2 linked regions of the Danio rerio genome follow. The protein of the gene in region 1 interacts with the protein of each later gene in a pairwise test. Links are inferred from orthologs where the notes say so. Each region holds a gene or a part of one and is shown in the gene's direction. Other genes may lie near its edges.

The links. The genes of interacting proteins can lie anywhere in the genome.
Region 2: the proteins of lmo4b (region 1) and kiaa1958 interact in binary tests that used the Homo sapiens proteins (3 or more experiments, as listed by UniProt). The two-hybrid records come from large-scale screens. The link is inferred for Danio rerio from reciprocal best matches to the Homo sapiens genes LMO4 and KIAA1958.

The regions. Positions count from the first base shown.
Region 1 is NC_133181.1:28,424,090-28,428,380, reverse strand, and holds the start of lmo4b (LIM domain transcription factor LMO4b), read left to right. Parts: upstream 1-1,485; 5' UTR 1,486-1,856; intron 1,857-4,126; 5' UTR 4,127-4,131; coding exon 4,132-4,291. UniProt on the Homo sapiens protein: Transcription cofactor. Plays a role in establishing motor neuron identity, in concert with MNX1, acting, at least in part, to disrupt LDB1-LHX3 complexes thereby negatively modulating interneuron genes in motor neurons.
Region 2 is NC_133185.1:11,943,968-11,947,486, forward strand, and holds part of kiaa1958 (uncharacterized protein KIAA1958 homolog), read left to right. Parts: intron 1-752; coding exon 753-1,764; intron 1,765-3,519.

The DNA.
Region 1 (4,291 bases):
TGGTCTATAGTCAGTTAAATGTCTGTTGAAGGAGCAGTATCAACAGATATCTAGCAGACAGTCTACTAATACTCAATTGGACCATCAAAATAAAGTGCTACCCAAATCATCTTTAAAAGCCTTCGGACATAAAAAATGATGTTCTTTCTTGGTGTATTTGTGACCTTTGTAAATAAATAGAATAACAGTTGTTTCATGATTTTGTGACATAATGATGTGCATGACATGTTAACCTTATTATTGAATATTTTATTTTATTTTAAAGAATTTATTAAGGTTATGCTAAGTCTCAAAGCTAAATCTTAGAAAAGGCGACCAACAAATCTATAGTTTTAGTTCTCATTTATACCAGGGGATGGCGCCACTGTTATAAGAACATGAGCGTGACTTCTGTAGTGGTGTAGTGAATTTTCACTTTGTCCATGAAACCAAATAGACTTTTATATAGTTAACACAGCCCTCAGTCAATCTAATATGAAATAGATGAAATATGTATATGGGAACACTTAAACACTGGAATACTTACTAATAGCATGAAACTTCCACAATCAGTTTTGTAGATATGGAGCAGAAGTTCTCCAGATGAAGGATTTGCTCTGCAGACATTCTTTCAATGTCAAAGGAAAGGTAGAATAATTCATATCTGCACAAAAAAAAAAAAAAAAACATATATATATATATATATATATATATATATATATATATATATATATATATATATATATATATATATATATATATATATATATATATATATTATTGTTGTTGTTATTATTATTTTTATTATTATTTTATTATTATTATTATTTTAATACCACATTAGTATTAAGTAAACTAATAACTGTAAAACTAAATATTTTAAGTATATTTTAGTTGAAGAGTCATGTAAAATTTATAATCATATTTAATCAAATAAATTAACTACATTTGATTACAAATATATAAAGACAAATACATAAATATATAAGTAAAAATGAAAACCAATTAATAATGTAATATAACAGAGACTAAAAGTAACAGAAAATACAATAAATATATCTAAACTTTTTCTTAACATGCAAGACAATATTCAGGGAGCTGTGATTTTATGCAGATGTGAAAACTGTCAACTCCTTTAAATAATAAATATTATGAATGTACGGTTCTTGTTGGTCTTATGCTGTAAATGAGGAATTAATTCCGTATAAAATGTTTTTTTATTTAAAAATGTTTCATTTTGGGGACCCCTTGTGCGCTTACCGAGGCCCCATAGTGGGACCCGGTCCCGACGGTTGAACACCTCTGCCCTGTCCAACCTCAACAAGCAGACAGCCACTCTCAACCGCAATCTTTCCTTCTTTGAACAGTGTGTGTCGAAGTCAACCTCGCCTTCTTTTGATTGGCTGTATTCCTCATTCCGCTTGAATGGAGTGCGTCATGATTGGCCACAGCCTGATTGACGTCATCCTGCGAGAGGAGGTTTACTCTGGGTTTTTTTCTGTCACTGACACATGTAGAGCACAAGCGACAAGCAGCGGCGAGACATCAGCGCGCGAGAGAGGACAGTTACAAACACAAGCGCTCTCTTCATCTATGGAAATTACCGAAGACCTTGCCGACAGCTCCATCAACAAACCCGCCGCCGAGCTTTTCAGTGATAATAAGAGCATCTGAGAAAAAAGGTGACGGCAACAGTGGAAATATAATCTGAAAACTCCATTTGCTTGACTCTTTCGCAGCAGCGAGAAGTGTTCATCCACGCGCTGCTCCGTCTGTGAGTTTGTTGGACTGTGCGCGTTATTTTTTATATATTTTCTACAGAGAAAACAGACTGCTGTACATTTCTCACCACCATTCAACCATTACATTTCAAAGAGGTAAGTGCACTTCTCTTCAACTAACCGTATTTTGCTTTATGAATGGTAATATTTCGTAGTTTGACGAGACACGTTTGTTACGGAGCGACAGAATTGATGTTGCAGAAAAACACTACACACGAAAGCATAAAAGATTACAGTTACTTAATGACTAGATTTTATGTATTGTGCTTGTGTGCAAATTGTGTTGCATGTCACGCACTTATACCGTAATAATGTACGTTAGTGAATTAAACATGAGCGATGCGCGTTGTTTCATAAGAAGACCACATAGGTTATTTAGACGTAATCTTGGAAATTGCTGGCATTTCGAGTTTAATATCTTATTAGTGCATCTTAAGTGCGCGCGTGCTGTACAGATGGTCAACAAACCATAACACAAGTGCAATTCTGTCCATGTTGCATTGTGCATTCTGGCAGGAGCAGCTGTATTTAGTCTCCAGCACCGCGATCTGTATTACTGGCCATGGGCTGCTGATCTGTTTTATATTTCTGCACATCCCCTCTCTTAAATTGCCTGTCCGTGTAATTACTTGAGTTTGCCCATTTGACTTAAAAGCCACCCCCTCCCTCTCTTCAAATCTCCCCTCTTCCCTCTTCCAGGGAATGAAACTTGACGATGGTCCGATCTTATTTATCTGGGGGAGTCACTTTCGGTCTCTGATTCATCTCCCTTTAGATTTAATCAGCACTAAGGTATTGCTTGTCCCTAAGAGCCTCCACTAATGGGGTTACTGAATGCCTCTCTCTCTCTCTTTCTCTCTCAGTGCAATGTTTTCTACCCCCCGCCTCTCTCTTCTCCTCTAATTACCTTTCAACAAAGATTTGGCTTACAGCCTTTCACGAATATATCTTAAATTTTAATCTTTCCCACTTCGGTCCAGCAGCCCTCCTTATGAAACCTGGGAAACATTGCACACACACAGTACTGATGGATCAACAGAGCAAAGCACAGAACTGCAATCGTAAATGAGGGTTTGTGGTTAATGTGATTTCTGTCAGAGGCAGATATTTCTGTAGGCCGGCATTAACTGATTTCTTGCATATGCAGAATGATCCAACATAGTAGGGGTAATTTCACGCAGCAGTGACCAGTCCCCAAAGCGAATGCTGCTGAATGTTCTTCATGATGTTGGCTGGAAATCCGTCATCTGATAACCTTAGTGAAAGCAATTGGAATATGTCGACCTCTGAATGGGTCGTACAACTTTAAGGCTTCCTCAATTAACTTCTCCAGTTCTGGCAACAGTAGCATTTGGATTCCTCTCTCTCTTTCTCTCTCTCTCATGAAGGTTCAGGAAAATGTACTTTTAAAGCAATGCAGACAACCTAACAAAAGCCAGTGCTTCTAATTGTTCCAGTGACTTTAATGTTATCAGTGAACAGACATTTATCACAAATGGACCAAAGGAGCTGACTTCAGCACTTAGATAAAGATCAAGGACAGCCTGCCACTTTAAACAATTCTCAGACTTGCTTGAAGGCATTATATGCATTTAAATTATTTCAAAAGAGCTTTTAGGAAGCGTGCCTCCCAAAACATTCAGTGTTTTAGGTCACTGTTCAGGCTCCAGGTGTTTTAGATATTTCTAAGACAAAACTTCTGTCAGAAGTTGAGGAAACTTAGGTGTGCTTGCTTTGTGAGATGTGGATTTAAGTAATGCTGAATGCTTTTATAGTTACTTTTCTTTCTTTTTTTAACTGTGTGCAAATATATATATATATATATATATATATATATATATATATATATATATATATATATATATATATATATACTTTTGAAGTCAAAATTATTAGCCCTCCTGTTTATTTTTCCCCAATTTCTGTTTAAGTAGAGGATTTTTTCAACACATTTCTAAACATTTGTTTAGAAGTTTGTTCTGTAGATTTTTAAAGAAAAAAATAGCTTAAAGGAGCTAATAATATTGACCTTAAAATAAAAAAAAAATAAAAATCAAAAACTGCTTTCATTCTAGCTGAAATAAAACAAATAAGACTTTCTCCAAAAGAAAAAAAATATTATCAGACACACTGTGAAAATTTCCTTGCTCTGTTAAACATCATTTAGGAAAATAAATAAATAAATAAATAAAATAGGGGCTACTAATTTTAATTTCAACTGTTTGTCATTTGTTGAAAGGGCTTTTGATTTGTATTTAGCTACAAAACTAGAATATAAAATAGTACTCTTGCACACGCATTTAAAAACTGCTTAACTCTTGACTTACTGCTCCAGTGTTTCTCCCTGTCTCTTTATGTTTCTGCAGACACAATGGTGAACCCTGGAGGAAGTGCCCAGCCCCCACCTGTTGGAGCGGGATCTCTGTCGTGGAAGCGCTGCGCGGGCTGTGGGGGAAAGATTGCTGATCGGTTTCTCCTCTATGCCATGGACAGCTATTGGCACAGCCGCTGTCTGAAATGTTCCTGCTGCC
Region 2 (3,519 bases), on another chromosome or scaffold:
TTGAGGAAACCGATTGCTACAAACCATTTGAGTAAAAAAAAAAAAGCTAATCTATGTGAGACCTGTGAACTTACTCCATTTAAGTTGAAGAAATGATGAGTTATTTAATTAACTCATTACCTTCAACACTGAGTTCAAAACTCTTTTTAGATGAGTTAATTAACTTTCAGTAAATTTTGAGTTAACTACACTCATTTCATTTGATAAAGTTGACTGTTGGATTTTACAGTGTTGTAAAATGAAGGTTGAATGGTATAAGGTTGAGTAATTGATTAAACTTTGGGTAAATCAATACCTTTAACCCCTTTTATGAAGTGTATTTATTTCAGCTTATTATCGTTTATTATATTAAACTTTTTTTTTTTTCAGAAATTTGACTTTTTTGCGTAAGAGTTTTTTTGCTTAAGACTGAGGTAAAATACTTAATTGGAAATTTAATATGAACATCTTAGTATTTGATGTCACTTGATTCTTTAAATGTAAATTCACCTAATTTCTAAATGCAATACATATTGTTTTTTTTTTGTTTTTTTTTGTTTGATTGTAGGTTTAAAAACCAGTTGAATAAATTACACAGAAGATAAACTGAAAAACATATTAGGAAATGTATCATTTGTTAAAAAAATCATATATTAGCTCATATTATGAACATTCTAATGATTTTATTATTAGGGAGGCAGTTTTCAATTCTTGTTGGCTTGATATGCAAATCTAATTGGATTTGAAAAAATCTATTCATTTTGTCATCCCAGGGGAGGAGGCTCAACATGGAGGACTGCTTGCACACTTCCTCTGACAACCTCGCTAAACTAGTGAAATGGGCCCACAGTCACGGGACAATCTGCACCTTGATCCCCAACCTCAAACACATGCTGAACGAGGGCTCCCATGGGACCCTCACGGCCCTGTGGGGCTGCAGCGCCGGGCATGCCTACCACTGGCCCCTCAACACCACCTGCAAAACCGGAAACAAGGAGCGCATGTGTTTCCAGGAAAGTCGGAGCATCAACACAGACACTATGATTCAGGCCGCCGCCGCCATGCAAAACTCCTCGGCAGATCGATTCCTCGGAAAAAAAAACAAAGGCGATTCCAATCAGATCCACGACTCCTGCGATATTTCCAACTGCAGTGAACCTTCAGAAATGGACGATAATGGCGAGGAGTATAACAACAACTTGTACGACATAGTCTGTGAATCATCAGCAACTGATGAAGATGGTGATTCTGACTTCAATCACACGCCAAACATCTCGCACAGGAAAAGACATGGAAAAGGGACGGGACATGAAGACAGTATTGACCCCTCCTTGAAGAAAATCAAACAAGAAAGAGGCGAAGATTACTACAGTTTGGCCAATCCACAGATTCCCAGCAGTTCAGAGATAAACCGCTCTACCGAGTTGCCCAAACCGAACCTCCAGAGCACACCTTTGATGTCCCAGAAACCTTCTTCCATAGATGGAGACTCAATGGGGGTGTCGTCATCTCCCTTGGACAGTTCTCCTACTTCCATGATCAAGCCACTGCGTGCACCTTTCCATGTTACCCAAAATAAAGTGCACATGAACTCTAATCCAGCGTGCAGTCAGAGTATGCCCACTTTACCTCATCCTGGACGGATTGACGCTATGGGTGTCCTGCACAGAGATGAATATCCCAGACCGTCTTTGTCTTACGGAGAGGCTTCGATTGGCGCAAACCCAGAAATGGATCTTCTATCTGCACAGGCACTTAGTACAGAAGCGAGAGCAGACAACACAGGTAAAGAGCCTTCTGTGTAAGAAATGTTACAGAAGTGTATGTTGTTGAGAATGTTGTTGGTTAAAGTGGCTGTATGCAAGTTTAGAAAGACTTATCAGTGCTGTTAGCAACATATAGCACAACTGCACTGTGAGCGTTCTGATTCCCAACTCACAGACCTTATTCAATCTTGCCCTAGTCTCTCTCTCTAACTTCACTTACAAAACGGCAAAAGGAAATAAAAATAAAAAACTTGTTTTTAGCGACACCAGTGGCCAATCAATGAGTTACAGTTCCCCTCGTATGCTGCGTTCAACCAGATGCGGCATGTGCGAATATATGCACGGACATTTACTCACTTCATTCGCACGTCAAATTCACTTTACTATAGATGCAGATTTGCACTTCTTTTTGCCCAGTGACTCTAGCTTTGTTGCTAAATGGCTTACATGGACTTTATTAAGAGAATAGCTGTGTTTTATGTGCATTAAGAACGCTGAAAAACAGCGTATATTTCTTCGGCACCATGTCTAAGTCCACTAGATCCTTTCAGAGGTGCACCCAGCTCTGTGAGTTTATAAACTCCTTTGGAAAGTATACCTGGATGATGGAGGCTTTCAGTGATGCCTCTGACTGAGCCGAGCCCAGTTTGATAAGCTGTTGTCTGGTGTCTGCAAGAGGATTTTCTACAGGATCAAAAAGCATAACGTCATAATCATGCCCCTACAAGAGAAAACTCCTGACGCGAATCTATGCTTAAGTTCAAATGCACAAAACGCTTAACTCATGTCTCTTTATTCACACAAATTGTGCCATTCGTGCTGCGGAATGTCAATCATGTAAATCACACGCGATTGATGCTTCGTCCACGTTTGGTGTGAACGCATTATTATTGTTTGTGCTTACATTTGTTCACACACAAAACATTGTGCATGCTGGGACATTTTCACTTCCAGCAACTGTCTTTCCATTATAAAACTGCCATGTTTAAGGTCTTATTTCTTTAAAAATCAGCGATCTTTGCTTCCTGATAGATATATGATATGAAGTGTGTCCAGACCGGACAAGAAGAAGCACTGCATTAAATTCCTTTTTCGTCCGCCATCTCTTTAGAATATGTTTACCCCAGTATTTTCAATAAAGTTTCTGCGCTCACCTGCTGATCCTGACAGCGCTAGCGAATACAGTCTTTTCATCTAATATTACGATTAAACAACTGAACGCATGCTTTAGTCTATTAAACTGAATTTATTGTAATTACATAATAACATTGATGCTGTTAAACCTTATGAAAATGAAAATATTTACATTAAGCTTTCACCAGAAATTTATCATTGGCTGAAAAACACTAGCTCTGCATATACCTCATTGTGCTTAATAATCATCCCGGTGTGCACAAGCCTTAACATGCAAGAACCTAAACGTGAATGTTAATGGCGGAAAGAAAACAGTAGTTAAACAGGATCACGGCGACATGAATATGCTTGCATAAGATCTGCAATTGACCATCATCATGTTGAAAGACAGTAGACATTAAAACAATGTTATAATAGTTTTATTGTCAATTATTTTAAGACTATAGACCAGGCCTGTCCAAACTCGGTCCTTGAGGGTCAGTGTCCTGCAGAGTTTAGCTTCAACCCCAATTAGGGCCTACTCACACTATGCTATTTGAACCGTGCCCATGCCCGTTTCCTGGAGAAGTGTGAGTGCGCTGAATCGGGCTCAGGCATGGTTCACTTGGCTGGCCCTGGCCCGGTTGGAAGAGGTGTGCCT